7 linked regions of the Canis lupus familiaris genome follow. The protein of the gene in region 1 purifies or fractionates together with the protein of each later gene. This does not show direct contact. Links are inferred from orthologs where the notes say so. Each region holds a gene or a part of one and is shown on either strand. Other genes may lie near its edges. The genes, in order: SHC1, RET, LRRK1, AP2M1, INPPL1, GAB2 and KDR.

Evidence for each region.
Region 2: the proteins of SHC1 (region 1) and RET purify together in Homo sapiens (affinity purification with western blotting; 4 studies listed by BioGRID and IntAct, with this or other methods). This does not show direct contact. The link is inferred for Canis lupus familiaris from reciprocal best matches to the Homo sapiens genes SHC1 and RET.
Region 3: the proteins of SHC1 (region 1) and LRRK1 purify together in Homo sapiens (affinity purification with mass spectrometry; 3 studies listed by BioGRID and IntAct, with this or other methods). This does not show direct contact. The link is inferred for Canis lupus familiaris from reciprocal best matches to the Homo sapiens genes SHC1 and LRRK1.
Region 4: the proteins of SHC1 (region 1) and AP2M1 purify together in Homo sapiens (affinity purification with mass spectrometry; 3 studies listed by BioGRID and IntAct, with this or other methods). This does not show direct contact. The link is inferred for Canis lupus familiaris from reciprocal best matches to the Homo sapiens genes SHC1 and AP2M1.
Region 5: the proteins of SHC1 (region 1) and INPPL1 purify together in Homo sapiens (affinity purification with western blotting; 4 studies listed by BioGRID and IntAct, with this or other methods). This does not show direct contact. The link is inferred for Canis lupus familiaris from reciprocal best matches to the Homo sapiens genes SHC1 and INPPL1.
Region 6: the proteins of SHC1 (region 1) and GAB2 purify together in Homo sapiens (affinity purification with western blotting; 6 studies listed by BioGRID and IntAct, with this or other methods). This does not show direct contact. The link is inferred for Canis lupus familiaris from reciprocal best matches to the Homo sapiens genes SHC1 and GAB2.
Region 7: the proteins of SHC1 (region 1) and KDR purify together in Homo sapiens (affinity purification with western blotting; 3 studies listed by BioGRID and IntAct, with this or other methods). This does not show direct contact. The link is inferred for Canis lupus familiaris from reciprocal best matches to the Homo sapiens genes SHC1 and KDR.

The regions. Positions count from the first base shown.
Region 1 is NC_049228.1:42,487,176-42,491,562, reverse strand, and holds the start of SHC1 (SHC-transforming protein 1), read right to left. Parts: upstream 3,009-4,387; 5' UTR 1,351-3,008; coding exon 877-1,350; intron 283-876; coding exon 212-282; intron 1-211. UniProt on the Homo sapiens protein: Signaling adapter that couples activated growth factor receptors to signaling pathways. Participates in a signaling cascade initiated by activated KIT and KITLG/SCF.
Region 2 is NC_049249.1:4,124,738-4,128,537, forward strand, and holds part of RET (proto-oncogene tyrosine-protein kinase receptor Ret), read right to left. Parts: intron 2,697-3,800; coding exon 2,430-2,696; intron 1,633-2,429; coding exon 1,345-1,632; intron 334-1,344; exon of another isoform or gene 1-333. UniProt on the Homo sapiens protein: Receptor tyrosine-protein kinase involved in numerous cellular mechanisms including cell proliferation, neuronal navigation, cell migration, and cell differentiation in response to glia cell line-derived growth family factors (GDNF, NRTN, ARTN, PSPN and GDF15).
Region 3 is NC_049224.1:40,487,760-40,492,311, forward strand, and holds the start of LRRK1 (leucine-rich repeat serine/threonine-protein kinase 1), read right to left. Parts: upstream 3,010-4,552; 5' UTR 2,993-3,009; intron 1-2,992.
Region 4 is NC_049255.1:17,241,306-17,245,805, reverse strand, and holds the start of AP2M1 (AP-2 complex subunit mu), read right to left. Parts: upstream 2,972-4,500; 5' UTR 2,853-2,971; intron 810-2,852; 5' UTR 767-809; coding exon 693-766; intron 1-692.
Region 5 is NC_049242.1:26,025,650-26,029,449, reverse strand, and holds part of INPPL1 (phosphatidylinositol 3,4,5-trisphosphate 5-phosphatase 2), read left to right. Parts: intron 1-396; coding exon 397-460; intron 461-545; coding exon 546-696; intron 697-899; coding exon 900-1,020; intron 1,021-1,267; coding exon 1,268-1,408; intron 1,409-1,655; coding exon 1,656-1,749; intron 1,750-1,854; coding exon 1,855-1,944; intron 1,945-2,117; coding exon 2,118-2,216; intron 2,217-2,325; coding exon 2,326-2,476; intron 2,477-2,578; coding exon 2,579-2,685; intron 2,686-2,972; coding exon 2,973-3,075; intron 3,076-3,161; coding exon 3,162-3,358; intron 3,359-3,680; coding exon 3,681-3,798; intron 3,799-3,800. UniProt on the Homo sapiens protein: Phosphatidylinositol (PtdIns) phosphatase that specifically hydrolyzes the 5-phosphate of phosphatidylinositol-3,4,5-trisphosphate (PtdIns(3,4,5)P3) to produce PtdIns(3,4)P2, thereby negatively regulating the PI3K (phosphoinositide 3-kinase) pathways.
Region 6 is NC_049242.1:20,669,692-20,673,491, reverse strand, and holds part of GAB2 (GRB2-associated-binding protein 2), read right to left. Parts: intron 3,339-3,800; coding exon 3,038-3,338; intron 1-3,037. UniProt on the Homo sapiens protein: Adapter protein which acts downstream of several membrane receptors including cytokine, antigen, hormone, cell matrix and growth factor receptors to regulate multiple signaling pathways.
Region 7 is NC_049234.1:48,245,109-48,249,368, reverse strand, and holds the start of KDR (vascular endothelial growth factor receptor 2 precursor), read left to right. Parts: upstream 1-1,346; coding exon 1,347-1,413; intron 1,414-4,260. UniProt on the Homo sapiens protein: Tyrosine-protein kinase that acts as a cell-surface receptor for VEGFA, VEGFC and VEGFD. Plays an essential role in the regulation of angiogenesis, vascular development, vascular permeability, and embryonic hematopoiesis.

The sequences.
Region 1 (4,387 bases):
GTCCCAGACCAGAGAGGTGCTGCTTTTCATTCAGACTTAGACTGATTCCCCTAACTTTCTCTCAATCCTTTATCCCTGAAGGTAAGCCATCACTAGCAAGTGACCAAGACCCACTCCCTCCTATACTCACTGATCCAGGAGCCCACTCCCCTATGTACCCCCTCTCCCCTCATTAATTCAGGAATCCCCAGTCTGCCCCCTCCCCACTAACCTGGTGACTTGGGTGCGGGTGTTGAAGTCCAAGGCACGCATTGACTGCAGGACCTCCACACAGCCCATGTACTGAAAGGAGGAAAGGAAGGTAACGAGTCAGCACCCCCTCCACAAAAAGAGTCCCAGGCCTTTCCCCTGAGTGCTTCCTACACTTGATCTTAGCCAAAAGGCTGACTCTGAAGAGTGAAGACCAAGTTTTGCCCACAGCCTGCGGCTACACCCACAATGTGCCAGACCACAGGAAATGAGGGGCGGAGGATCGAGCAAGCCAGGAGGGCCTGGACATCTGGGAAGAGGATCTCGAGGACAGTGATGGGCACTGGGGTGGGGGGTGGGGAAGGTGACATCCCCAGAGGGAGGAGGCTGGAGGATACAATCAGGACCGCTCATTCCCACACTTACTAAGGGTGGCAACGTGCTGGGCTTTGTGCTAAGCATGGCAGGGTGGGGGAGTCACCAGAAGTAAGGGGCCCAGGCAGAGCTGGATGGGAGGGGCCGCAGAATAAGAAAGGGGAAGAGAGAGGTGTGAGAAGCGATCCTGAAACCAAGGGAGGTACCGGCAAGAGCAGAAAACGAGAGGCTCCCAGCTCGGCAAAGCTGGAGTGAGCAGAGGAAGGAGTCTGGGAGGGAGCAGGGAGGACCGAATGGGAGACATTCACTCACCCGAACCAAGTAGGAAACCCCAGGTCCCATGACTTTGTCGTTGGGATGTAGCCAGCCCCGTGTGGGCTTATTGACGAAGCTCCCGTGGCGGGTCCACTCCTCGCCCCCCAGCTGGCCCCCTTCCACCCGCGTCCTGCGCCCGCCTCCTCCACTCAGCTTGTTCATGTCCTGGAGGAGGGGCAGGGGGGCTGAGTCCAGCACGGCGGCCCCTCCAGTCCCCTCCCCATCCTTAGAGGCCCTTCCTGGCTCCCCAGCTGGGTTAGCCAGCTTCAGGTTGCTCATCCGGGGGAAGAAGGAGCACAGGGTAGTGGGACTCTCATCCCCAGGCAGAGGTGGCAGGATGGGCCCCAGGGAGGAGGCCGATGGGGAAGGTAGTTCCTCCGGTGGGGTGGACCCTGAAGCCCCTTCCTCCAGCGATGACAGAGACTCATTCCGAAGTGGATTGTACTTGGGCTTGGGGGGCAGGAGATCCATGGCTGCAGTGAGAGGGAGGCTGCTGCCCAGCCTGGCCCCCCTGCCAGTCAGGGCAAGGGGGCCAGGCAAGGGGCATCCCCAGGCCTTTAGTCTGCTCGGATTCTATGGCCCAGGGATCTCAAGGATCCTGGGGAGGGAGAGTGACAAGTGGCACCAGCGGCCCCAGGCTCAGACCCAGATAGTTTCAGGCCCCATCCCCCGCCCAGCGTGGAGCCTCTTCCCAGGCGGAGAAGAGAACAGGCTGGACCAGAAGCAGCCTGGCTCCTCCCCAGGGGCGGGGAGGGAAGGCCAGAGACCAATCCCGAGGACAGTGCTGACTCACAGGCTCCAAGGGGCTAAGCCCCCACAGCAGCCCCAGCCTAGAACTCTGGCAGGGATAAAGCTCTCGGTGCCCCCACCCTGCCCCGAGACAAACCACCAGTAATCTGGGGAGGAGTAAAGTGGAGTGGGAAGGAAGGATGTGGGAAAGAGAAGGAAAGGAGGGAAATAAGAAGAGGTCTGGATCCATCCACACAGGACATGGGCAGGCCACAGGGAGCAGGAAGCTGCGGGAGGGTAGGGGGACCGGGACAGGAAACAGAGGGAGCTGGGAGTGGAAAGGAGGGGACCCCTGAGCTCAGCACTTCTGTTCCTGTCCTGCTGGAATGCCCCCCCTCCTCCAGCCCTATCACACCGTGGGGTGGTGGCTCTGGGGAGCCTGGGCCATTAGCGCCCTCTGCTACCACAGCTGGGAACAGGTGGTGAAGGGAAGAGGAAAGCATCCAAGTGGTCCCAGTGGACGCAGGGAAGGCCCAAGAGGAAGCACGAAGCTGGAGAAGTAACGGGAACAAAGTCCAACCTGGGTGGTGCACCAGGGAACCTTCAGGCAGGAACTGGAGCCTGGGACGGGCTGATGGAGTCCTGCCCTCCATGGCTGGCACCTACCATGCCAGGGGCAGCAGCCCACAGCCAAGCACTCTTCTGTACCCCATCCCACAGGTCTAGTTAGCAAAGCAGGCTGTCACGGGCAATTCGGTGACAGGGTACTGACACAGGGGTCGGCTTCCTGGGTCACATAGGTGACAGGGCACTGACACAAGGGTTGGCTTCCTGGTCCTGCCAGGCATGTTCATACTCCTTCTCTTAAGTGGAGAAGGTTAGGTGTGCCCAGGGAGCACAGTGCACCCAACACCAGGGGTAGAGTCTCACTGGAGGAGGTGGGAGAGTACAACAGTTCTCCAAGAGAAGTGGGGAGAGGAAAGGACAGGCCATGAAAGCACAGAGGGAGAGGAAGACAAATCTGAGCCGGGGTGCCAGGGACGGGCTGGGGCCCATCCCTTCTGCACAGCTTCCAGCTCCACTAGAGGGGACCTTGAAGGAAGAGGCAAAGTCACCAAAAAAGCACTAGAGATAAATACAACCTCTATGCTCACCTTGGAATTACCTATTCTTAAACTGCAGAAGATACAAAGATGCAAACTAGTAGCTAATAATACTAACACTCAAATCGTGTTAGATACTGTGCTCAACTCTCTCCCCTGGCCTTTAGCTCTCTGGCCTAAAGGGATGGAGGAAAGGCTTCTACCCTGGCCTCTGCAGCCCCTGCACACAGGCCAGGACGTCCTCCCCTGCCGGCGTCTGCACAATCCAGAAGCGAGGACCCGCCCACAGGTGTGGGCCTTAGGAAGGAAAGAAGGAGGAAGTCGGGCTCTTTAAATTTGCATAGGAAAGGAGATGGCCTACAGGGAGTCAGTGTGGCTGGGTGTGTGGGGAGGAGCTGCTCCAGGCTTCTCAGCCCAGCGGGGAGGAGGAGGCAAGTAGCAGGAAATGGCGAAAGCCTCAGGAATGTTTCCAGAAGGGAAGGCTGGGCAAGCGGGACCAGGAGGAATGCCCAGACAAGAGCTCTGCTTGGGGGGGAGGGGAAGAGCCCAAGAAGCGGCGGGGGCTGGGGAGTCCCTTCCAAAAAACTAAACAAACAAAAAAACTCAAACAGCAAAAAGGCCACTGTCCCCTCCACCCACGCCAGGCCACCGTTTCCAGGCAGCAGGACACTCTAGCTCCTGGTGCACCCGCAGGTTGCACGCCAACCTCACGGCCCTACCAGCTCCCGAGGTGCGGGTGCTAGCCCTACAGCTGTCTCTGGGGCGGAGTCTGTCCTGGGCTGGGAACCCAGGAGCAAGTCTCTCGGCCCCTTTGGCGCCAAACCCCAAGTCCAGGCCCCTCTCCGCGGGGCAGGGGGAGGGGCAAGGGAGGCGGAGGGCGGCCCCTGACCTCGCCCGGCTCGCCCCACCTGCTGGAGCAGAAGCACTGGCTCCGCAGAGCTGAGCCCCAAGCCCAAGGAGAAGAGAAGCTGTGTCAGCAAGGGGCTTCGGGACTACCACAGCGCTCCGAGGGGCGGAGCCCGCCCCACTCTGGACGCTGCCCAGGGGGAATGGGCCCCACATCACGGGTACCGGGCACTGTAAGAGGCGAGGCTACAGCACCGCCCGACGCCATCAGGCGGGGGGCGGGGCCTCTCGGAAGGCGTAGCCTCTGGGGCGGGGCTGCCGGCACTCGGCCGGGCCTCGGAGGGGCGGGGCTCTGGCCTCCTGGGGGACCCGTCGCCAGAAGGCGAAGAATCGGAACTCAGAGAACTACCGTCAGGTTTCTCACAGTCGGACTTGGAAGCATGTTCGGGGGTGGGACTTCCAGGAAAGCTGGGCAGCAGGGTGGGGTCGTGGACAATACACAGAAAACAAGTCGGGGTTCGGGGAGCCCCCTGAAGATGGGGGTGGGACTTCCGGGGAGGGGGGTCTCAGGGGGCGGGACTTGCACATGAAGACCGGAAGTAGGGTCCCGGGAGAGGGGTTCCGGGGTGGAGGAATGGGTCACCTTAGGAGAGGGAGAAGACCTAACTCACCAGGGCCTCATGGAGTCTCCGCACCGCACCGCGGCTCGATTTGGTTCCGGATCACGCCACTGCCTCCTTAGGTCGCCGTTCCAACTTTCTCCCCGGCCTGGCCTCCCTGAAGAAACTTTATTGCACTCACTTCCGGCCTCACTAACCCCTGACCCTCTA
Region 2 (3,800 bases), on another chromosome or scaffold:
GAGGGTTACGTCAGCTCCACTGCATGGGAGAACAAGCATCCCTCGGTCCCTCACGTCAGAGCCACATATTATATATGAATTACACCTGGGAAATGCTTATCATATGTTTCTCTCTGTTGTTTATGGTTACAAAACACATGCTCAACAAAATTTAATTATGTAATCTTCATGAGGAAGGGCAGCCTGCTAAACCTGATGTGTGGCTGACAACCTTGCACAAAGACATTTAGCCCAGCTGCAGGGCAAATGGAAGGAGGCTGGGGGAGTGGCTGGCTCCTTTCCTTACCTTACTGAGATCTGCTTTAACATCATTGCCGTGTGTATGCAATTAAACCTGGTGTGAATCCACGTCCCCCTAACTAGCAGTGTGCCTTCTGTGTCCCACCTTCTTGCTTTGGATATTTCGATGGTGCCTCCTGTCATGGATCTGTTCAGGTGGCTTCTCTCAACTCCCTGGGGATCTACCGCCTGCTCTCACCTTGGCCAGCCTCCCCAGGGCCATCTTGTGGCCAAGTTGGCTACCCTTGCAGCTGCTCAGGTGGAATCCTGGAACCACACTGACTCCCCTCTTTCCCTTAACACCCACATCCAACTCATCAAGGAATCATGCTGGATCTTCCTTCAAAACATGCCCAGAAGCCACCTGCTTCTCGCTGCTCTGTGGCTTCCACCCTTCTTCCAGTCTTCATTCTGTTGCTTAGGGATTTCTCAGGTAGTAACCCTGCTTCCACCCTCCCCTGCCCATATCGAATCATTCCTAGCATAGCAGCTGGAATAATCCTTTAGGGGTAAGTCAGGTCTTGTCAGTGCCACCCCCTATAAGCCTTCCATGACTCCCCAGTCCCTCAAGGGGAAATCCTCAGGAACTTCTGTATCTTCATGTGCCTCTACTCTCCCCAGTCCAGCCACACAGTGGCCCCACCACAGCGATCAAAGGGGCTAGCACAGCTTCCCTGGTACCCTCCCACCTTGGCTCCAGTGCTCCCTTTCCCAGCCAGGGCACAGAGGACCACAGTCTCCACCACTCCACATTCCTGGAAGTTTACTTCCCAACTAGCATGTTCCAGAGATCACCTCCATTGCCTTGGCATGAGCATGGCCTCCACTTCCCAGGGGTAATGGAGGCTCTAGGGAGGCAAGATTGTGACTTATTTTGTTCACGGTCACATCTTTAGCCCTTAGAACGGTACTTGGTTCATGACAGGCACACAAGAAATATTTCTGGGATATTAAATGAAAGGGTGGTGTGGTGGTGCAGAGTACACCAGATGGCTGTCAAGAGCTGGTGGTGCCATACCTGGCATACAGCAGCACCAAGGGTCACTCTGCGAGGTCAGCACTCACCTTCTAGGAGCTTGTAGGACACGCTGATGTTGGGGCAGAGGAACTGCATGGGCAGCAGACGGAATTGGTGGAAGGTGCCGGGAGGCCTGTTCTCTCGAATGCGGAAGGAGACACCAGTCTCAGGGAAGCAGAGCTCCCGGGGTTTGAGGGAACCACAAGCTGGGAAGGAGGTGTTAATGAAGGAGAAGTACACACGGGCACAGCCTGGCCACTGGCACTCGCCCTCACGCAGGGATGCAGATGACAGGAAGACCTGGACGTAGATGGTGAGCACAGGGAAGCCGCCATCTGTAGACAGAGAAGTCAGGCCTGGTGGGGCATCACCATACCAGCAGGGGAGGGGGCAGGAGCTCCAGGGCTGGTGGAAAGTCCAGTCCTCACCCTTGTCCACAGGGCTCCACTGGGCTCTCTACGCTGCCTGGCCACCTCCTGCCTGCCCTGAGCTGCCCTAGACCAGGATGCCTGTCTCTGCTCATGGTCCCATGGTTCTGCTCCCTCTGCCTAGGGTGCCTCACAGGCCTGCCTCTCTTGTCATTCAGGTTCAGCTCAAATACCACTCCCTCAGGTGCTCTGAGCACTGGGGTCTACTATTCCTCCTATTTCTCCCCACCAGCCTCTACTGCATCATTGCCCCCTCAGAGGGGTGCCCTGAGTCCTGGGTCTAATAGCAGGTGGAGAGCTTTGCCAGGCTGGTTTCTACTTTGCATGGTGCACATGTACTGCATGGGTGGGGGGGTCTTCACCCTCCCCAACCCTCCCCAAGGGCTTTCCTCATCGGCGCCACTGCAGAGACACACCCATAGACAGAGGACAGACTTTCCCAGCACCTGGAGGGGGGAATTTCCAGCAAACTCCATCATGGAGGCTCTTTCTCCAACAAGGTCTGGATCTCTGCTAGAGTGATAAGGACTCTTCCTGGGTCCTCTCTCTCAGCCCCAGGGTAGCGGCCACTCCCCTATGTTTGCACCTCACCCTTCACTCTTACACAGCAGGGATCACACAGGAGCCACCTTCCCGAGCCTCAGTGTGGGTGTGATGTGGGCTGTGAGAGAAGAAGACAGGGTGGGGTCAGGCAGCTCCCTTACTGCGGATGCTGAGCTTCTCCCAGGTGCTGTGATCCAGGCTCCGGTTAAGGTAGAGAAGGCCTGTGTCCTCCTCGATGCGGATCCAGTCGTTCTCATGCAGCCTTGCACGGTAGGCGATGCCGTAAAGGTGCTGGCCTAGGCGGAAGCTAGGCACCTCCTCGGGGATGTCCCGCAGGGCATGGACATAGAGCAGGGGCATGCCAGATGGCTGGTCCACATACAGCTTCTCCCAATAAGCATCCCTGGAGAAGTAGAGTCCCAGTGGAGCTGCAGAAAGCAGGGAAGCATGTGAGGGAGGGAGTGGTGATGACAATATCCAGAGCAGACCTCCCAGGCAGACCAGCACTCTCTAGCAGCTTTAGTTCACACTTTGATAAAAGGTTCTCTATGGACCAAAAGTTTTACTAACTAAAATTCCAATCTAGCATAAGTAATAGTTTATAAGCAAAACTGTGTGTAAGTTAGGAGTCTCCTCATTCTGAAATTATAAGAAAGAGATCTCAGCCTCCAGAATTTATAGAATTAAAGACTTTCATACATAAATACAGAAATAAATAAAATTCTGATCTTCATAGGACTTTCTTACCTATAATCCTAACATCAACACACAACTATCTGTGTAGCTAAACACAAGCTGCAAGTGGATTGCTGTAAAATAGATAAAGAGAGGAGGAGGCAGTATAAAACCACTATAAAATCATTCTCAATTACCCAAGTTTGATAAAAGCTGGGAGTTTACCCTGGTTTCTCACCAAATCACCTGAACCCAAGGTTTTCAAGTGTACACGAGGATGCCAGACAAGCAGGGCAGGCAACAGTCACCTAAAATGAACCAGGACACCTTATTCATTCATTCATTTATAAGGTTTATTTATTTTAGAGAGATAGCGTGCACATGCAAGTGTATGCATATTGGGGGAGGGGCAGAGAGAGAATCTTCAAGCAGTTTTCCCCACTGTGCTTGGAGCCTGTAGTCGGGCTTGATCTCATCACCTATGAGATCATAACCTGAGCCAAAACCAAGAGCCAGACACTTGATCAACTGGGCCACCTAGGTGTCCCTGGACCCGGGCGCTTTATAAGAGAAACAAATCTTTATCTAAAGTTAAACACTCCTACCGTTTGACCCAGAAATCCCACTGAATTTATCCAAGAGAAATGAAAACATATGTCCATTAAATGACCTATTCACAAATGGCAGGGTTATTCACACAGTCAAGAACTGGCAACAGCCCAGATGCCCTTCAGCAGGTCAGTGGATATGCAAAGTGTAGTTTTCACACCACGGAATCCTATGCAGCAATAAAAAAAGGTGAACTACTGATACACACAACAACCTGGAAAGATCTGTAAGACATCATGCCAAAGAGA
Region 3 (4,552 bases), on another chromosome or scaffold:
TGTTTGGAGTCTGGGAGCCTGAAAAACCCAAGGAGGAATGATCAACCTGGACAACATTTAGGAGACCATCGAAAGCTTTCTAAATTGTAAAATATGATCAGGAAAATCAACTTGAGACAAGAAGTCAGAGGAACAGCAAAACAATTTGTTTTAAAATAAAGGCTCTAAATCCTGCAGTAACACTCAGACACCAAGGAGCACAGTGGCCATCTGCTTTCAAACGTCTTAAAATCAGCTACCACATCTACCCAGTACCACCTCAAAAAATCCAAATGCTAGTAGACTTGCCTTCTGAAAACAGAAGTGTCTTACCATAGAGTGCTTTTAAGTTTTTTTTTTTTTTTTAAATCTTTAAAATATTTTAGGCCAACCCTCGGCCAGCACATTTTGTTCCCCTTTTCATTTTCAGTTTCCTTTTGAAAATCTCTTTACCGATGGAGGATTTTACCACTGGCACAGTTTTTCAACTGTAATTTGTATGTTGGCTTAGACTCTAAGGTAGAAGGTTTAAAATGAGGTAACTCAACTTTTGCTCAATCTTTGCCCTCAAACGGATCTTTGCTTCTTCCTGCTTCTTTTGGGCTCAGACCAATGCAACAAATCATGGTTGTAAGTTACATGTCTTCCTTTCATTGTGGTGCATACAGCCTTAAGAGGACTTCAAGAGGTTTTCTGTAATAATTTTAATACTTTTTAAAACCTCACCAATTTTTCATTGCTCCTTATACGTGCAGTAATGAATAAAACTGAATGCTTAATCAAAAAGAGAAAAGGGGAAGCTGACATTCATCCCGCAAATGTTTTTATTGGGCCCTTTCTATGAGGAGTGAACTCCATGTGTTCATGAAACTTAAAGCTGGTGGGAAGGCACAGTTAAGTAAGTGCTTGCCACAAAATTTCTGACTGAGGAGAAATAGAGGAGACCCTGGACCTGCTTACTTGTCTTTTCAGGAGGCTTGGAAAGGATTGTCAGTACCAAAGAGCTAGAAGACACTTGCAAATGAGCACGTCAGCTCAGATAATCCAGTAATTCTTTTTAGTGAAAGCATGGTAGAGATGGTTGGCCCATAGTCCTTGACAATCCTTTGGCACTACTAGCCTCCTCTGACCACATACCGGCTTGCCTACAGAATGTGTGTAATGGATTCATGGACTTCAAAATATCAAGGGGCTGCGGACCAGAGAAATGTGTAGATCTCAGTCCTAGATGAACACCCAAAGGTCTGGGAACAGAAGCCCTTCATGAGTCTGAAACCACAAACAAGTTAAGACTGTCCATTCGCCATTCAATCTGTATGCCAGGGTGTACTGGGCACCTCTCAGACAGTTCTGGGCGTGAAGACGCAGCAGTGAGCCATGCTGGTGCCTAGGAATGGTCTCTGACCCCTGGAGCTCCAGGAGAGTGCCAGGCAATTAAAGAAGAGAGCAAATAGATGAAGAGGGACCATAATACCAGTGGAGACTGCAAAAGACAGCAAGGGTGGGGGGGGGGCGGATGTGAGAAAGAGGCTGGGCTTACAGGGGGTGGCTGGCAGTATGAGGAGTCAGGGGTCAGCATGTAGAGGCCATATGCTGAAGAGCCAGCTGGACCATGGTGGCTGGTGGGGTGGGGTGGGGTAGAGGGTGGCATGAGCAATGGCCAGGTGGTTGATGATGCCAGACTCCATATCAACTGAGGGGAAGGAGGTGTCCTGGGTTTCATGCCAATCACAAGGAGAAATTATGGCAGGGTTCTAAGCAGAGGATTGACACATTCTGATTTACCTATTAAAAAAAAACACACGCACAGACTCTCTGGCTGTCACATAAAGAATTGGAGAGGGGAGGATTGTAATCACGCAGGAAACAAATGCTGGTACCTTGGACTAAGGTGGAGACAATGAGAAAGAAAGGTTGGACTCAGCCAGACACATAGGTAAGCCCAACAGAACTTGCTGATGGTTCACAGAATTCAAGGGATGAGGGTATGGGATAGAGGAAAGGCGAACAAGTGAGCTGACTATGGGCTCATTCCCTGACCCCAAAACCTCCTTTAGGGACAAATCAGATGTGAGATTTTTGTTTTTAATTTTTTTTTTTTAATTCTTCAGGGACGGAAGCAAAGATAATTAGAGTCAAATCACAAAAAGCATTTCATGTTAATGTCGTCCCAAATGGCACCTCTTCTAGTTGTCCCTTTAATGTCTGGGTACTTTGTTACCAAGTTGAGGGGCCGGCACCCTCTAGAAAGAGTGTATTCACTGAGAGCCTTGCTGAAGCCTTCGCCACAGGCTGCTGTTTTCTCTGCCTCTCCGACCCCTGCTGATGTGTTCCGGGAGAAAGCTTCCAGGCCTCCAAACGGGCAGGGGCAGGTTGAGCGGGCCAGAGGTCCCCACGCTCTCCCTCGCCACCTCCCCCGGCCCCCCACCTAACCGGGCTCCCCTCTTGGCCCCTTCGCGGACCTGTCGCGTGTCTGCGGAGGAGGGTGGCGGAGACGGCGGATTCCCCCGCAGCGGCGGGAGCGCAGGAGCCCGGCCAGCCCCAGCCCCAGCCCCAGCCCCAGCCCCAGCCCCAGCCCCAGCCCGGCGGGAGGTGCGGGCGCTGCTCCCCGGCACACACGCACGCACACTCGCCCGCACGCTGCGCGCTCGCGCTCACACCCGGCTCACACCCGGCTCACACCCGGCCCGCGCCGGCCCGAAGCAAGGAGCCTTCTCCAGGGGCGGAGGAGACCGTGGTCGCCCGGCCGCGGCTCGGCCTCACTGGTGCTTCTCGCGCCTTCTCCCGGCCGCGGCCCGCGCGGGGTTTCGGGGTGGCCCTCCGGGGCCCGCCGCCTCCCCCACTCCGCGGGGCCGGGGCCGGGGCCGGGGCCGGGGCCTGGGGTCCCCCGCGCCCTCGGTGCCCCCCTCCCCGGGCCACCTGGGCGGAGCACGCGGCCGTCCGGGCGCCGAGGGGGCTGCGGGGGTCCCGGGCGGGGCGGGGCGCGGCGCGGCGCGGGCGGACGGGCGCTTACCTGCGGCGGCGGCGGCGGCGGGGGCGGGCCGGGGCGGCGGGGCGTGGGCCGGGGCCGGGGCCGGGGCCGGGGCGCCGGGGACGCGGGGCTGGGCGCGCGGACCGAGGCCTGGCCGTCCCCTGCCCTCCGCCCCCTGCGCCTCCGGCCGCGCGCGCGGGGGCCGGGCCGGGCCCAGACGCACTTCCTCAATCCTGCGGCCCGCGGGCTGGCGGGGAGCGAGCGCGGGCGAGGGGGGGCTGGCGCGGCGCTGCCGGCGAGCTGCACGCGGGCGCCTCAGTTTCCCCAGCCGGAACGCGGAGGTGCCCCGACGCCGCGCCCCGGAGGCCCGTGAGCCCTCGCAGCGCGCGGACCCCGCCGGGTCTGGGGGCCCTGCCTTCTCCTGTCGGGGCGGGCGCAGCCGCAAGATTGGTCGGTTCTCTGCTCAACGCAGCGTCGTCCACCGTCCCCGGGCTCCGGAGCAAAACCCAAGGGCTAACCTCGGACTTGTATGGGTTAGGCAGGGCCTCGCAGTGACTGTACTCTGACCTACACCTCTGTGCAGGGCAGGATAGAAATAGGTATTTTCTAGCTTTAGAGTTTGGCAAACGGTGCCCCTTCCGTCACAAGAATTTAATTGGGGCTGAATATAGAAAGATGTCACTGTTGGGTGAATCATTTTAAATTCTGCGGGGAGTAGATAAAACATGCTGGAATGTTGGCCATTTATTATGTCTCGACCCGATATGTATGTTCATCACCCGACGGAGACCATTATCCGACGGCATCACAGAGACGCAGGGACGTGCAGCAGGCATCAGACCTGGCTCCGCGTGCCAACCACAGGAAGACAAGCCGGCCCAGTAAGAAGCAGATGGTTCCACAGCCCGGCAGGACCCGCAGCCTAGGCTAGACCTCTCCTGCGCTGCGACTGGAAGGCTCCTGGGACTTTAGCGCAAGTCAGAGACTCGCCACCACCCTCACTGCCATTTCACAAACGCCAGGCAGACGCAGGGCCCCCGCACGACCTCAAGGACACTCTGAGCAGTGGCCCCTTGGCAAGGGCACCACGGGGCAGCTTCGCTTTGCTCCCAAGAGGCTGCGCCTTTAGCTCGCCGGCCACGGAACGCCCTTTGCAAAAGGGTGGGTGCGGTTTTGCAATCCTGTCCTCAATATTTTGGTCCTAATTCCAGTATTCAAAAAGCAGCAATGTGATTGCTACCGAAAAGTCCCTAATAATTTGCAGGGCGTGGCGTCGCGGTGCTGAGTGAGCCGGGCATTCGCGGTGCGGCGCCTCCGGGGCGCGCGGCCCGCCATCTAGTGGCAGCACGAGGAACAGCACGCGGGGAGGGGCGGCGGGAGGACCCTGGAGCTCATGTGGCCAACGCGGCCTGGGCAACTCAGCTTCTCTTTTTATTTTATTTTATTTTATTTTATTTTATTTTATTTTATTTTATTTATTTTATTTTTTTATTTTATTTTTATTATTTTATTTTATTTTATTTTATTTTTTTATTTTTATTTTATTTATTTTATTTTATTTTATTTATTTTATATTTTATTTTATTTTTATTTTATTTTATT
Region 4 (4,500 bases), on another chromosome or scaffold:
GCTGTGTCTCTTTGCTAAGGTCTGAGGGACCTAGAACAAGGAGCTATTCCGGGTCTACTCTGGTAGGCCAGGAAGGGCAGCATGGCCTCCCTGCCCTTCCTTCAGTGACCCGGAGAGTGCCCCAAGCTTGCTCACAACCTCTCTTCTAGGAGTGGCCCAGAGGAACTGAAAACAGCTGAGTCAGCAGCCTGCCTCCTCCTGAGAAAGGGAGTAGGAGAGGATTTGGCAGCCTGGAGAAGCTTTCAAGAGAATTCAGTGAAGGCTCTCACCGTGAGAAGGGCTTTTGAGAGCAAGACTTAGATGGACTAGTACCACTAGCCTGTCCACTAACTTCACCCCCTGGAGAAAGATCTCCCTCCTCCTCAAGGGAGGAATTCATCTACCAGGGCAAAAGCACTCATTTCTAGCAACTAGGTCTGTCACTAAGGAAAGGAGAAGGCAGGAAGGACAAGAGTTCCTAAGACTGTGGGGGGCCACACCATTCCACAGGTCCCACCTATTGGCCAATAACTGGCTGCCAGGCCAATACCACCAGACCTAATGGGAACCAGATTGTATTAGCTGAGCTTCTAAGATGCAGCGAGGGATGGGGGTGGCCAAAGTCCAGTCTCTGGTAGGAACGGACCTGGTCCTGCATGCTGGGGAGGAGGGATGAGGGGTGGGGACACAGCTGGCTCAGCCAGGGGACTCACCCGATGTCATCTCGGTAGACCCGGGAGATGAGCACCTCCCCCTTGTGATTATAGATGAATAAGCCTCCAATCATGGCGGCAGCTCAGTCTCCAAGGCCCATCGCTCTGAGAACAGACCTAGGACAGGCGGAGGCAGGGTAAGGGAAGGCCTCAGAACCTCTGCCAACATCCCCTGTGGGGCTGTGCAGGTCACTGGCTGGGCTTTTTTTCCTGACTCAACCCTCCAGTAAGTGACCCTGAAGCCCTCCCCAGGCATGCCCCTCCCCTTAGCCAGGCTCCAGTTCCTGTTTATCTCACACTGGAAAGGAGAAAGAAATGGAGAGGGACTTGGGCCCAGGATTCTAAGGCCATTTTGACCCTCCCTTTCCTGGGGCTGAGCCCAGAGTGTAGCCCCCTCCCCCTCTTTTCAGTGCTGAGCTCAGCACAGATCCTTTTTGGCCCCTTCCTGTGCAGACTCTCACTCAGACTCTAGCCGGTGAGTCACTGGGAAGGCCTGCCTGCGGCTGCAGGAATGGCGGTAGGAATTATTCCACTTGGTTCAGGCCTGGGGCCCCCAGGCACGGCTTTAGGAGCACCCGGTCTCTCAGGCTCCACTAACCCTTCGGAGAAGACAGCAGGGCCTGAACCTGTGGCTCTCTAATTCACAGAAGTCTAAACATTCCAGGAAAGGGTGTGCAGGGTGTGGGGAGGAGACAAGGGAGGCCTTAGGCCCTGACACAGACCCTGGAGTGTGGCTCCAACCAATCCCAGGCAGTCAGATAAGCAGGCAAAAGAGCAGAGGAGAAAGGGCCCAGCCTTGGCCGACTACACTTCAATGACCCAAGCTGCTTATTAGTTATTTTTAACCACCTCCCTTTCAAAAAGGGAGGATCCCTCTCAGTTCCCAAGTGCAGTAAAAATAAGGGGGTGGGAGTACAGGTTTATAAAACACAAAGATCAATCCAGCTGACATTCTATGATTCCAGAACCATGACATAACTCATTTCTGGCCTGAGTACCTATAAGGAAGGGGCAGAGAATAGGTGTGCATTATCCAAATTATTTGGGTCAAAATATTTGCAAGGAGAAAAAGGGTTAATTTAATTCTAGATTTCCTGAATTAGCTCTGGTATTGATTTTACAGGGCAGAGGGAGTTTAGCAGACTTTTCTAAACTGGAAAATAAAGCCCTATTACTGAGGCCATCAGGGTCTCCCCAACTCAGTGAGAGGTCTCTCAAGGTGGTGGTGGACACATTCCACCCCAGAGTCCCAAAAAAGGCTGGGAAAGGAAATGAAAAATGGGAGGTAGAGCCCCGGGCAAAGAAGCAAGTTCACAGATATCAAGTGGTAGGGGCCGCAGGGCACCGAAGGAGCGGAGGTGGGGCCCAGGGCAGGAGGGGAATACTGAGCTAAGGGGAAGGACGGGCAGAAGGAGCCAGGCGGTCTAGTCAGGTGAACCTGCAGCAGCAAGAGGGCTGGGGCTGGGGGCTGGGGGGCGGGGGGGGGGACGGGGACATCTGGAGGAAGGAGTTTCCAGTGTGGCAAAGGTCAAGACTTTGAAACAGCAGGGAGGAGACTGACAAGTGGCGAATAGGGGAAAGCTGGGGCGGCGTTAACTTGCTTTAGGGTTCAAGTGTGGAGGCATGACGGGGGGTGGGCTCTTCGTCTAGGGGAGCAAGACATCGCGGGGATGAACATGGCTCCACGGGGCTGCGGGGGCTGTCACAGGTCTGAGGAAGAAGAGCCGAGGGGTGTCACTCAACTGGGGGGAGGGGGTGCGGCTGGTGGGAGGCCTGTCACAGCCCAGGGAGACGGCCCGAGGGGGTGTCACCGTCGAGGAGATGGGGGAATTGTCCTTGCGCTGGGAGGAGGCGGCGCCAAGGCACCAGGGGGGCTGTCACGATCCCGAGGAAGGGGGCGCCGCGCGGCATCCTGGCTCCGGGGGGACCCCAGGAGGTCTCCCTGTCACGGAAGGCGCCGGACTGCCGGTGGAGGGCGCCGCTCCCTGCCCACCCTGCAACCGCGCCCCGGGCGCCCCCGCCCCGCCGTCAGCTCCAGATCAGAAGGCTGAGGCCCCTCCCGGCTGTGGGCAGCTTTTCGCGCAGCGCAGTGCAGGGAAGGGCAAAGCTGGGTAGCGGGGTACGCGTTCTCCCTTACTCTCCGCCGGATTCCGAGCTTACCTGGCGTCCGCGGCCGCCTGCTCGGCCCGCCCGGCCACTCTCCAGATCCCAAGATGTCCGCCCGCCCCCTGCTCGCCAGCCCGCTGCCTCGGCTTTCACCGCAGTGCCGTGGCCCCGCCCCGAACACAGTTGCGCGTGCGCGTCCGGCGACCGAGCCGACTACAAATCCCGTCAGGCCCTTCGGCCTTCTAGCTTACAATTTTAGCCTTTCTAGGTTTAGGAAGACTACAACTACCGACTGCCTTCAGCGGGTTAGGCGTGCCTTGGGGAGGGATAGGCGTGGCCACATCCCATCATACTCCGCTCCACTCGCTTCATTTTCCCTACCGAGCATTCTGGGAATTGTAGTCTGCAATCCATCCTGTTCAGCGTCTAGGAGAGCTTCGGAGGATTAATGCCATTTGTTGAAGCCCATCTGTTAAGCTTGAGATTGCTGTAGGCCTTTTCCGTCTCTGGAGTCCGAACACTGGCTGTGCTCACTTTACACACACACACACACGACTTGGCAGAAGTGTTTGCACTAAATTTACTGCTTTCTAACACCAGCTCTGATTTTCCCAAGACTTTTCATCAAATATTTGTTCCAGATGTGAGCCTCTTCCCAGGGATCAAGACCCAAGTAAAAGGGCAAAGATGGAGGAGGCAAATACTTGTAAGAAACTAGCCAAAGCTTTTCAAGAATGTCTGTTCTATCCCAACTACACATACCTATGTGACCCCTTGAGGCCAGGACCTGTGTGCCTTCTAGTGATGGCATATATGTTGCTTAAAAAACTGCTGGCAAGTTTAGCTGGACATGGAACTTGAAATCCCTTCTCTAATGAACAGAGTTAATCTTCACACCCAAGCTGAGAAGAAAAGACAGAGCAAACCCTCAGATATGAAAGCCCTGCTTGACTTTTACAGGACCCGAAGAAAATGTTAGCTCTTCTCTTTCTGTACGGAGAGCTTCCCTTATGCCTTCACTGGTGCTGAGCCCATCATGGGAGGAAGGGCAAAAAAGGGCAAACCTGGTTACAAACCCTACTGTCCCAGCATCCTCCTGCTAGAAGCCAGAATGTGGCAGGATGAAGATCTGGCCTTCCTCAAACAGTGGTCACCATGTGAATCCATTAAGTGACTGAATACAGGCATTTCTAAATCTTGAACCGGCACTCAGATCTTCACTGCTACCTTTCCAAAAGCTTTATCTTCAATCAATAATACCCTACCAATTTAGAATAAATAATAATAGTAGTAGTAGTAATAATAATAGCTACCATTTATTGAGCACCTATTCTACTCTGTGCCAGGCACTGTGCTAGGCACTTTTCGTACAAGTCTAATTTAAATCCTCACAACAACCCTGTGAGGTAGGTATTATTATCATCATTTTACATATGAGGGAATTGAGGCTCAGAGAGATTAAGTAACTCTCTTATCACGAAACCAAAAAGTAGTAGAGCTGGGATTCAAGCCCAGAACAACCTGACTCCAAATCCCGTGCTCCTATGAATTAGGGTAGAGGCGGGGGGAGAAGAAGGACCATATTCAAGAAAGACTGTTGAAGTGGAATGGATATGATATGCTGACTAGTAAGAGTTGGGGAAGAATTTAAGTCCATAAATGTTCCTAGCTGGTATGCCTATGTAGACTGTGCTAAAGATCA
Region 5 (3,800 bases), on another chromosome or scaffold:
CAGGCTTCTGAGGACTCTTACTCTGGCGGGGGGCCAGAGCTGGTACCACAGTCCAGAGGGGCTGTTTAGACAGCTGTGGAGGCCACAAAAGAGCTGCCTGTTGCTTCCCGGGCCCTGTGGTGGGTGTGGAGTCCATGTAGGTCTGGGTGGAGAGGTGGCCAGGAGGGGGGCGGGAGTGGTGGTGGGGGGAGGCTGGTCATTCCTGCTCTTGTTGGCAACACTAGCAGGATAGAAGTGGACTGGCCTCATCATTAACCCGTGAGCAGCCTGAGCAAAGGGTTTTAGGAAAACCAAGCTGAGGGAGCTGGGTCCTGAGCCTGGTAGCAGGAGGAAGGCATGCCTTGGGGCTTAGCCCTAGCCAGGGGCGACAGGTTCTGATCCTCGCTTTGTCACTAGGTATCAGAAGCACGTGCACACATACCGAATCCTACCTGATGGAGAAGACTTCCTGGCTGTGCAGGTAGGAGTCTGGCCCCTGACCCTGATTCCACCCTGTAACTTGGGGTCAGCTGGCTGACACTTCTCCCACTCCTGCTGATTGGCAGACCTCACAGGGCGTGCCCGTGCGCCGTTTCCAGACCCTGGGCGAGCTCATTGGCCTGTACGCCCAGCCCAACCAGGGCCTCGTGTGTGCCCTGCTGCTGCCTGTGGAGCGGGAGCGAGAGCCAGACCCACCCGACGACCGTGATGTCTCAGGTGGTGCTGCACGCTCTGCCACGTGCAGATGCCTTCCCTGCCCCTTCCCCAGGCGCTGCCTGCTTCTTCCCCTCCCATTTTCTCAGTCCCCCTCCCCTAAAGCCCCCTTGCTCCTACCCATGATGCTGGGGCCCTTTACCCCACTTCCATGGAAGCATCTGAAGACACAGCATCCCCCATACTTCACTGACTCCTGTTCACAGATGGGGAGGATGAGAAGCCTCCGCTGCCCCCACGTTCTGGCTCTACCAGTATTTCTGCCCCCGTGGGGCCTGGCAGCCCCCCAGCAGCCCCTGAGACTCCCACAACTCCAGCTGCTGAGAGGTAAGACCAGAAGCCTCCACAGGGAACAGGAATTCCCCTTTCTCCTCTGAGAACCTTGTCCGCTTGGGGGCGGGGGCTTCTAAGCCCCCACTCCACCCCCAGGGGCCCTCATCCCACCTCAGCCCCAGGGGCAGACACCCTGATCCATGGTGCTCTGATCACTGCCAGTACCACCTCTAGGGACAGGGTGGGAGGGCCGGGACAGGGTCAGCAGGTTCTTCACCGACTTCTCCACCCCTCCCTGAAGTGCTCCCAATGGGCTGAGCACTGTCTCGCACGAGTATCTGAAGGGCAGCTACGGACTGGACCTGGAGGCCGTGCGAGGCGGAGCCAGCAACCTGCCCCACCTCACCCGCACCCTTGCCACCTCGTGCCGGAGGCTGCACAGGTACCTGGCACGCGCAACACCGCGCATGCAGCCTCTCCTCTGACCCGTGCTCACCTGCCCCCTGCCCCCTGCACAGATGTCCTGACCTCTGCTCTCTGGCCCGGAACGGGGACTCAGCTGTCGTTTCCTGAATTTTCCTCACCCGTGAACCCTTGGATCCTTATGGTGGAGGCTGAAGCTACACACTCAGCCATCCTTCCCTGTCCTTGGGTCGGGGCGGGGAGTTCTGACCGGTCGTCTCCCCTAGCGAGGTGGACAAGGTCCTGGCGGGTCTGGAGATCCTGTCCAAGGTGTTCGACCAGCAGAGCTCTCCCATGGTCACTCGCCTCTTGCAGCAGCAGGTGGGATTATGGGGGGGGCCTGTGGGGAGTGGGTTGATGTCTGGGGCCGGGGGGACCCTCCTGTTCAGCGGCCTCAGGGACCAGTCTTACCCTTCCTCTGTGCAGAATCCAGCACAGACCGGGGAGCAGGAGCTGGAGAGCCTGGTGTTGAAGCTGTCGGTGTTAAAGGACTTCTTGTCGGGCATCCAGAAGAAGGTAGCCTGGCTCCTGACCTCTGACCTGACCCACCAGACCCCAACTATTTGCAATGACCTAAGTGATCTCCACCCCCAGTCTACACCTCAGCATCGACCCCACTGTCAGCCGTCTCCCTCCCAGTCCCAGCTCTCTGCACATCCCCTGACCTTGCCTGCCCTTACTCGCCCCAGGCACTGAAGGTCCTGCAGGACATGAGCTCTACGGCCCCGCCAGCCCCGCCGCAGCCGGCTATACGTAAGGCCAAGACTGTGCCTGTGCAGGCCTTTGAGGTACGCAAGGAAGTGTTGGGGGGACCCCTGGGGCAAAGGGCGGTGGAGGGTGGAGGGGGTGGTATTTGCCCGGGGTCTTTTCAGCAGCCCCCCACCTCGTGACCTGCAGGTGAAGTTAGATGTGACCCTGGGTGACCTGACCAAGATCGGGAAGTCACAGAAGTTCACGCTCAGCGTGGATGTGGAGGGCGGGCGGCTGGTGCTGCTGCGGAGGCAGCGGGACTCACAGGAGGACTGGACGACCTTCACACATGACCGCAGTGAGCCAGGGCCCGACCTTGGGCGGGGGGGGGGCGGGGGGCGGGCAGGGCAGCCTCCGGGCCTCAGTGCACGGGCCAGTGTGACCGGCCTCCATCCCCTAGTCCGCCAGCTCATTAAGTCCCAGCGTGTCCAGAACAAGCTAGGCGTCGTGTTTGAGAAGGAGAAGGATCGGACACAGCGCAAGGACTTCATCTTTGTCAGCGCCCGGGTGAGCAGCGTGTTGGGCTGGCCCCCTGCAGGGGTTCCTGGGGGCTGGAAGGAGAGGAAATGTGTGATGCAGGTGACCCGTCCCTCCTGACAGGGCAGACAGTGTATGTATGGAGATGGGTGGCCCGAGGGTAGAGGCAGATAGATGTTCATTTGGTGAACATTTCCTGAGAGGTGTCCTCTGCTTGAGTAGTGGGTGTACAGTGGTGGACCAGACAGGCGTGTCCCTCCCCTCATGGGACCTGCCACCTACCAGGGACCTCCCCTAACTGGCTGTTGTCCCCCCAGAAGCGGGAGGCCTTCTGCCAGCTACTGCAGCTCATGAAGAACAAGCACTCCAAGCAAGATGAGCCGGACATGATCTCTGTCTTCATAGGCAGTTGGAACATGGGTCAGGCCCGGGTAGGGCTGGGGTGGGAGAGAGGTCAGGGGTCAGGGTCAGGGGCCTGACCATCACCCCATCCCCTTCACCTCCAGGAAGCGTGCCACCTCCAAAAAACGTGACATCTTGGTTCACATCAAAGGGTCTAGGGAAGACCCTGGATGAGGTCACGGTGACCATACCCCATGACATCTATGTCTTCGGGACCCAGGAAAACTCGGTGGGTGACCGCGAGTGGCTGGACCTGCTACGCGGGGGCCTCAAGGAGCTCACAGATCTGGATTACCGCCCGGTGAGAGAGGGTCATCCTGTCCAGTCTCCCCTCCTCAGACCCCAACCCAAACGATCCTGCTTGACCCCACAGGCCACCCGGGGAGCACAACTTGCCTGCCTTTCCCTCTGGCCCCCGGGGTATCCTTTAGGAAATCTAATGAGTGCTTCATGCTGTAGGAATGTGCTCTGTTTCTCTCTGGCCCTTCAGGAGAAAGGGTGGCAGCCCTTCCTATCCTGTGACTGACGGTGCCCTCTCCAGTATAGACAGGGGTGGGGTGGGGGGCATGGAATGCGGCAGTGCCCCAGCCCCAGGCAGGGATAACCGCGAGCCTTCTTCCCAGATTGCCATGCAGTCGCTGTGGAACATCAAGGTAGCCGTGCTGGTCAAGCCAGAGCATGAGAACCGAATCAGCCATGTCAGTACGTCCAGCGTGAAGACTGGCATCGCCAACACCCTGGGT
Region 6 (3,800 bases), on another chromosome or scaffold:
TTAAAAATAGTTTGCTTTCTGATTACTTTCCTCCCAATTATACCTATTTTCTAAAAAGCTGAGATATTCTTTGGACCTCTCTCTCACATTTATGTTCCTTTGATTCCTTTTTTATTCTCCCCCTCCTTGTCTGTTTCTTTTTGCATGCAATGAGCTTTTATTCCTTCATCAGGAATAAAATGAAGGGAAAACCAAAGTCCATGAAGCCTATAAATGACAAAGATTTGGGGAAAACAGGAAATTCTATACAGGAAACAAAGATTATACCAAAGATTTTAAGGGTAAAATGGGGACTAATAATCCTTCTGCAAGGAAGATGAAAATCAGAGAATTCCTGGAGAGAACACCAATCCAGGCACAATAGACTACATAATTTCAAGGGCCTAGCGCAAACTGAAAATGTATCCCCTTATTAAAAAATTAAGAACTTTGACATAAATAATATTGAAAGATATCTCATGTTTGTGGATTGGAAAAATTACCATTGTTAAAATGTCCAACTACCCAAAACCATTTACAGATTCAGTGAAATCTCAATAAAGATTTCAATGGCATTTTTTACAATAGTAGAAAAAATAATCCTAAAATTCTTATGGAACCACAAGATTCCAAGTAGCCAAAGCAATCCTGAGAAAGAATACCAAAGTTGGAGGCATTACACTTCCTGATTTCAAACTATATCACAAAGCTATTGTAATCAAAACAATATGGTATGACAGAAAAACTGACACACAGCTCAATGGAACACAACAGAGAGCCTCACATGTATGACAACTAATATTTGACAAGGTTGCTAAGCATATTCAATGGAGAAAATATAATAGTGTCTTCAAAATATGGTGCTAGGAAAACTGGGTATTCATATGCAAAAAAAGAAAAGAAACTGGACTCCTATCTTATATCAATCACAAAAACTAACTCAAAATGGGTTAAAGATTTATTTTATTTTATTTTTAAAGATTGTATTTATTTATTTATGAGAGACACAGAGAGAGCCTGAGACATAGGCCGAGGTGGAAGCAGGCTTTCTGCAGGGAGCCTGATATGGGACTCCATACTGGGACCCCAGGATCACACCCTGAGCCAAAGGCTCAACCACTGAGCCACTCAGGCATCCCTGGGTTAAAGATTTAAATGTAAGACCTGAAACCATAAAACTCCTAAAAGAAAACAAAAAATATTCCTTGACAATGGTCTTGGCAATGAGTTTTTTTGGATATGACATCAAAAGCACAAACAAGACAAAAACAAATAAATGGAACTACGTTAACCTAAAAAGCTTCTGTGCAGCAAAAGTAACAACAAGATGAAAAGCAACCAAAGAAATGGAAGGAAATATGTATTTTCAAGCCACATATCTGATAAGGGGTTAATATCCAAAATACACAAGGAATTTCCACGACTCAAGAACGAAAACGAAAACAAGAACAAATAACCCAGTTAAAAAATGTCCATAGGATCTGAATAGACATCTTTCCAGGGAAGACATTCATATGGACAAGTTACCTGAAAAGGTGCACATCATCATTAATCACCAGGGAAGTGTAAATCAAATCAAAACTGCAATGAGCGATCACCTCGCACCTGTTAACTGTCCATTATCAAAAAGATATGGAGTGCTAGCAGGGATGCAGAGAAAGGAAAACCCTTGTACACTACTGGTGGGAATATACACTGGTATAGGTAGTATGGAAAACAGTATAGTGGTTCCTCAAAAAATTAAAAATAGAACTACCATATGATCCAGCAAGTCTACTTCTGGGTATATAATCTGCAGGAACTGAAATCATTATCTTGAAGAGATATCCACACCCTCATGTTCATTGAAACATTACTTACAATAGCCAAGACATGCAAACAACCTGTGTCCACTAACGGATGAATGGATAAAGAAAATTTTATACATGTAATATTATTCAGCAATAAAAAATAAGCAAGGGTGCCTTGGACCTTCGCTACTCAGAATGAAGTTGTGAAAAGACACTCACGCCTAGGTCCACCCATGAGATTCCTAGAGAGCTGACTTGGCATGGATCTTTGGCATCAACATTTAAAAAATGCTTCTCTTTAGTTCTGTCATGCAACCAGGTTTAAGAACTACTGATTTAGGCTCTGCACCTGCCTCAGAAGAAACCTGTTTCTCAATCATGCCCTAGTTGGAGATGAGCCCAAACAAATATCAGAGAGCATTTCTGCAACTTAAAGGTTAGTTTAAAAAGTTGGCTACTCAGAGTGCGTGGGTGGCTCAGTTGGTTGAGTATCCAACTCTTGGTTTTGGCTCACATTGTGAGCTTGGGGTCATGGGATTGAGCCCCATGATGAGCCCTGAGTGGAACCCCATGTCCAGTCCTGCATGTGGCAGGGGATCTGCTTGGGGCTCTCTCTACTCTTCCTCTGCCCCTACCCCTGCTTATGCTCACACACGTGCTCTCTCTCTCTCTCAAATAAATAAATAAATAAAAAGTTGGGCTACTGTGTTGTGAAAGTTAACAAAACCGAAACATAAATCTGTATTTCCCCCTTCCACCTGTCTCCTTCCAAGTGAATACAGAAGAACACTAGGTTAGATATCAACAACAATCACAGAGGACCTCAAACCAAAGGAAAAAAAAAGTGGCAAGTAACTGGGCAGGATGGTCTGATGGTTTGAAATCCACCAGACAGAGGTGGACCAGGAAGGAATCGAGGTGTGAGCCGCCCGTGGGTTGAGAGATAGGTGAGAGCACAGAGTGCTAGAAAGCTGAGGAGAGGGGTGGAAGGTGCAGGGCTGACAAAGTGGGGGGTGTTAAGGTACCCGAAGAAATATCACCAAGTACCTTTAGCTTCATTATAACTTCAACGCATCTCAGACTCCCATTTAAATGTAATTAGGGCCAGGGATCCCTCTGGACCTAGAGTGGCCAAAGAGGAGAGCCTTTAGCTACAGTCTGCTATCCTTGCTCAAAGATCTGAAGGCCTTCATCTTAGCCCCAAGTGCTTAGCCCCCTCCAGGAAGCACCCTGCCCTTTGAGAGAAAGGTTCATGTTTGTTCTCCTACCTGTGCTCTCCTCAGCCTGATTGAAGCCACAGATCTGGCAGATGCTCTGGACCCACTTATTCATGTCCTCCTCTGTCTCAGCCACCAGATAAAAGGTGCGCTCACTGGTCTTGATGTCAAATACAAAACTATCCTGCAGCTCCTTCTTGTTGAAGGTTAGGCCTGCATCCACCTGCTCACAGAAGTTCAGGTTGATGATCCTCAAGGGCTTCTTGGAGTGATCATTCTTGTAGTATTCCAGAACATCCGGGTCACCACTCATCCGGCCACTCCGCAGGATAAACCAGCGTTTCTTCCAGGCCTGGATGAGGAGGAGGAAGAAAAGAGGGAAAAAGTCATTAGTTTTTCAAAGCTTCTCACAGGTGCTCAGAAATCACCAGGTTAAGGATGGAGACTGCTGTACCTGCAGGCCTAACATGGCCCCTCTCTTTCATACTTCCCCGGAGTTTAAAAAATGGAGGATGATTTTAGAATGCATGTTAGTGCAATATTTCACATTTCCTTCTCTTTAGTTCTGTCATGCAACCAGGTTTAAGAACTACTGATTTAGGCTCTGCACCTGCCTCAGAAGAAACCTGTTTCTCAATCATGCCCTAGTTGGGGATGAGCCCAAACAAATATCAGAGAGCATTTCTGCAACTTAAAGGTCAGTTTAAAAAGTTGGCTACTCAGAGTGTGTGGGTGGCTCAGTTGGTTGAGTATCCGACTCTTGGTTTTCGCTCACGTTGTGATCTTGGGGATCACCACATTGGAAACAAGATCT
Region 7 (4,260 bases), on another chromosome or scaffold:
GAAAAAAAGCCTCTAAAGGCATCTGAGTTCTCCAAACAGCTCCATCCTAAGGAGTCTACAAGCGCAGGGGTAGTTGTGAGGTTTGGGACGGGTTGTTCTGGGTGCCCAGGTCTGGGAGCCCTCGCTTCATTGCTTCTCCAGGGAAGCCGGCCTCCTTCTCACGGGGCCTAAGGCTATCTTGGCTGGGAGCTCTGTTCTGCAGAGGGGCCTGGTCACAAGCCCAGGAGGACTCACGTAGGGGCTCGTTGTCAGCTAACACGGTGGACAGAAGTCCTAGTCTCAAGGCGACAGCCTCCTCGGGGAGGGGCGACTCTCACGCTGCGGGGACGCTAGAGCCCTGGGTACCTGCAGCTCCCTGGAGCCCTGATGTCGGTTTTTGGTAAAAAGCAGGTAAGGGGTACCAGTTTAATCGCCTTTGGGGGGGGGGGGCGGCTAGGCTGCAAACCTACAAACATCTGAAGCTGCCAGGTATGAGAGGAAACAGGGAGAACTCTGGAGAACTGAGCGGGTGCAGATCCTGACTGAAGGCATTCAGATTCAGATTTTTAAGCTACAATTTTGCTGGCCAAGCAAAACACTCGACCTGGCTGCACTCGCTGCGGGTTTGCGATCCTGCCTGCGCCCGGGCTCCGTGCAACCTGCTGCTGGCCCCCGTCTGTCCGTCCCCAGCCCCTGGAGGGACGCCGCGGGCGCCGGGGACGGTCGCACATCCCGGAGCCCCCCGCAAGGCTCAGAGCCCCCCGCCCCCATCTCCGAGGGCCCCAACCTCCTGAAGCCTGGAGGGTCGCAGAAGCCCTGCCCCGGCCACGCCGCATCGCTACCCGAAGGGGGGTTGCTGCGCTCGGGAGACCCGGGGCCAGGCGCCGGCCCAGGCGAGACGTAGCGGGCCCCGGGGGCGGGGCTGGGGGGCGGGGCCGCCGGCCGCGGGGAGCCACGCCCCTCTGGGCCACGCCCCGGTAGGGCCCCGCCCACCCAGGCCCCGCCCCTCCAGGCCCCGCCCCCAGGCTCTAGAGTCTCGGCCCCGGCTCCCACCGCGCACTGAGCCCCGGGACCCCGGGAGCGCGGCCGGTGCACCGTGCCGTCCCCTCGGCCCGCGCGGGGCATCACTTGCGCGCTACGGGAAGCCCAGCGCCGCCGCGCCGCGCGCATTTCCTCTGCCCGCCGCCCCCGCAGACGCCCCTGCGCGCCGTGGCCGGAGCCCGGGCGCCCCCGCCCTGCCCCCCGCGCCGCACGGTCCTGCGCTGCGGCGCCCGTCCCGCCTCCGCGCCTTCTTCTCGGGGCGGGCCCGGGGAGGAAGAGCCGCGCCGGAGTCCGGGGCGCTGCGCCGCGCCGCGCGCGAGGTCGGGATGGAGAGCAAGGCGCTGCTGGCCATCGCTCTGTGGCTCTGCGTGGAGACCGGGGCTGCCTCCGGGGGTAAGGAGCCCACGCCCCAGAAGGACGGCGGAGAGGTCGGGCGCGGGCGAGAGACCGGGGATGCCGAGAGGTCCTGCAGGCCCGCCTGCCCCGGAACCGGAGAGCCGGAGCGAAGCGAAGCCACTTGACAACTCGGTCGTTTTTTTTTTCTTTTTTTTCATTTGCCAACCTGGAGGCTGACGCTCTTGGATTGGCCCAAGGGTTTCCAAAGAGTTGGTGGTCTCCAGAGCCCCGGTTCCTTGCAGAAGGTGGCCTCCGACCCGGGCCTGCGGAGCTCTCGGGAGGGCGGGCGCCCGCGGCTGGCAGCAGGAGGTGCCCGGCGGGAGGGACGCCGCGCAGGGAGCGCGGGCCAGTAGCTCCCACCGCGCCGCGCGCTCCGCTCGCGGAGTCCAGGGGGACCCCGGGGTGCCTTTCCCTCCGGGCTGCAGCCCACAAACCCACCCACCGTGTAGGGGGTGCGGCTCGGGAGGGAAACTTTTTTTTTTTCTTTTCCCCTTGATGCTGGATGCTGCTCTCCTTGCAGGGAGAAGGTGAAAGGGCTCTCAGCCCGGGGGGGGGGGGGGGGGGGGGTTGTGACAGCTTCCCCAAATGTCTCCAAGTAACAGTCACCTTCTTATGTAAAACAACGGCATCTTTCAAAGCTCGGGTCCTTGGGATAAGCGCACGGTCAGAAGTTCAAGTTCTGAAAACTTAACTCTGCGGGACTCGGTAGCTAGAGTTAGCGCCCCTCGGTTCTTTCCTTGCCACCTAAAATGTCAGTCTCCTTCAGGATTAGGAACACACATGCTCTTGATGCCATGAATGTCTGTCTTTCCCTCTTCGCTCTACTCAACACCCTCCCCTCCCCGCTCCCCCACGCGCCCTTCTCGTATCTCTTTTCTGTGGCCAGAGTTTGCCGATTTCCAGATTTCCACTCTTCGGAGGGTGAGAAAGGGGAGAGGGTGGAGGGAGGAAAAAAAAAGTCAGATAATTCGGGGAAAAATTCCTTACACTGGAATAAAAGAATCGCATGTCTTAAAAAAAAAAAAAGAAAAGAAAAGAAAAGAAAAGGCATTCGTATACAGTAACAAGATCATCTATCTATAGTTATTAAATTTTCTTAATAATGACTTGGTTCATCGGGGCCAGCTCCACCATGGACACTCATTTGTCCCTGACAAGACCTCGCTCTCCCCCTTTATGGTCTGGAACATGTGGTTGTTCAGTATCCCACAAAGAAGTGAGTTGCTTCTAAGCCTGGGGTGTTTCATAGCGCAGCAGTAGTAACTGCAATCGGGTTGCCCTGAATATAACGATGAGGTTGCCCTTTTGGAGTGTGTGACTTGCTTAATTGGATTGGGCTATAATTGGTGCCATCAAATTCTAGAGACAGAGGCACTGTTGTTTTTCCTTCCTGTCTTTGAGCTGGAAGGGTAATAGCGCACAAATTAATTAATTTGGGTTAGAGGATTTGAACATAGAAGGGCTTTTTATAGAGTAGCAGCATATGTACTTCTTGTAGTTATTTCTTTAGAATTTTCTGAAGAGTAGGACTTAAACTTGCCCATGGAAATGAATGAAGCTTAGTGGAGGAAAACAAAATCGAATGTTGGTTGGTCTACAGATACGAATTTGGAGTTATCCTTATTGATAGAGGCTTGCTGAAAAGATTTTTGTTGTATACATGTCTCTAGGATAGTATGGTATTGTCTTAGCTTCCTATGAAGGGGGAACATATCTTTAATTAATTTTTTTAACATAAGAAAGTGTGTCCAGAGGGTGAGATAATCCGTGACAATAATTTATGAGAGATCTTCAAGAACCTCTTATTTTGCTGGTAGGACAAACATAGCTTATTTAGAGCCGTACTTTTGCTACATTTTTTTTCTCACATAAATGTGCCCAAATAATCCGTTCTTTCTCATTTGGATCATTGTACAAATTGTATTAAGTTACTGCTTTCAACATGTTTCTCAACCTAGTGTTTCCCAGCCAAGTTTGATACTTGAACTCATCCGAATCAGTTGTTTTTATTTTCCTTTTCTTAAACAAAGTGAGACTTCATTGTTGGAAGGCTTTTCTATTGCTTTAAACACTTTGCTTTATTGTTTGTCTACTTTGAGGACAGTTTTTTCCTTCCATATTGAAAAGTGCTACGCTAATTAACTGAACATGATAAGCCAGATCAACAGCTGTCCAAGAGTATCCCATAGACCATGTGTGATCAAATCATGTTAAGTGCTTGTTAAAATGCAGATTTGGAGGGCTAGGGATGTCTTACACGTCCTAAAGCTTAAGAATTATTGGCCCAAACACAAGTCAGTACCAATACCAATGAGTTTCTGAGATTTACTGATGCAACTTAATTTCTAGTGTTTTTTTTTAAACTATGATATTGATCAACAAATCTGCAGTTGTGTCAACAACCTACTTTGTACATCTGGGTGAGTGTGTAGAAATATATGTGATCAGCTGTTTGTTTTGTCTGTGGCCATTCACTTTGGGATCCACAGATTCAGTGTATTAGGTATTTGCACTGGATATTTGCTCACTCTCTCTACTCTTACTTTTTCATATTTGCAAATACTGTCTTATTTACCCAACAAGATCAGGGTAGCTTAGGCCTCAGAAGTCAGTGGTTCTTTAAACATTTTTTAAAATTATTTTTAAAATTCTAGTATAATTAACATACAGTGTTATATTAGTTTCAGGTCCACAATATAGTGATTCAACAGTTCTGTACATTACTCAGTGCTCATCATGATAAACATACTCTTTAATCCCCATCACCTGTATCACCCATCTCCCAACTTACCTCCCCTCTGGTATCCATCAGCTAGTTTTCTATTTTTAAGAGTCTATTTTTTA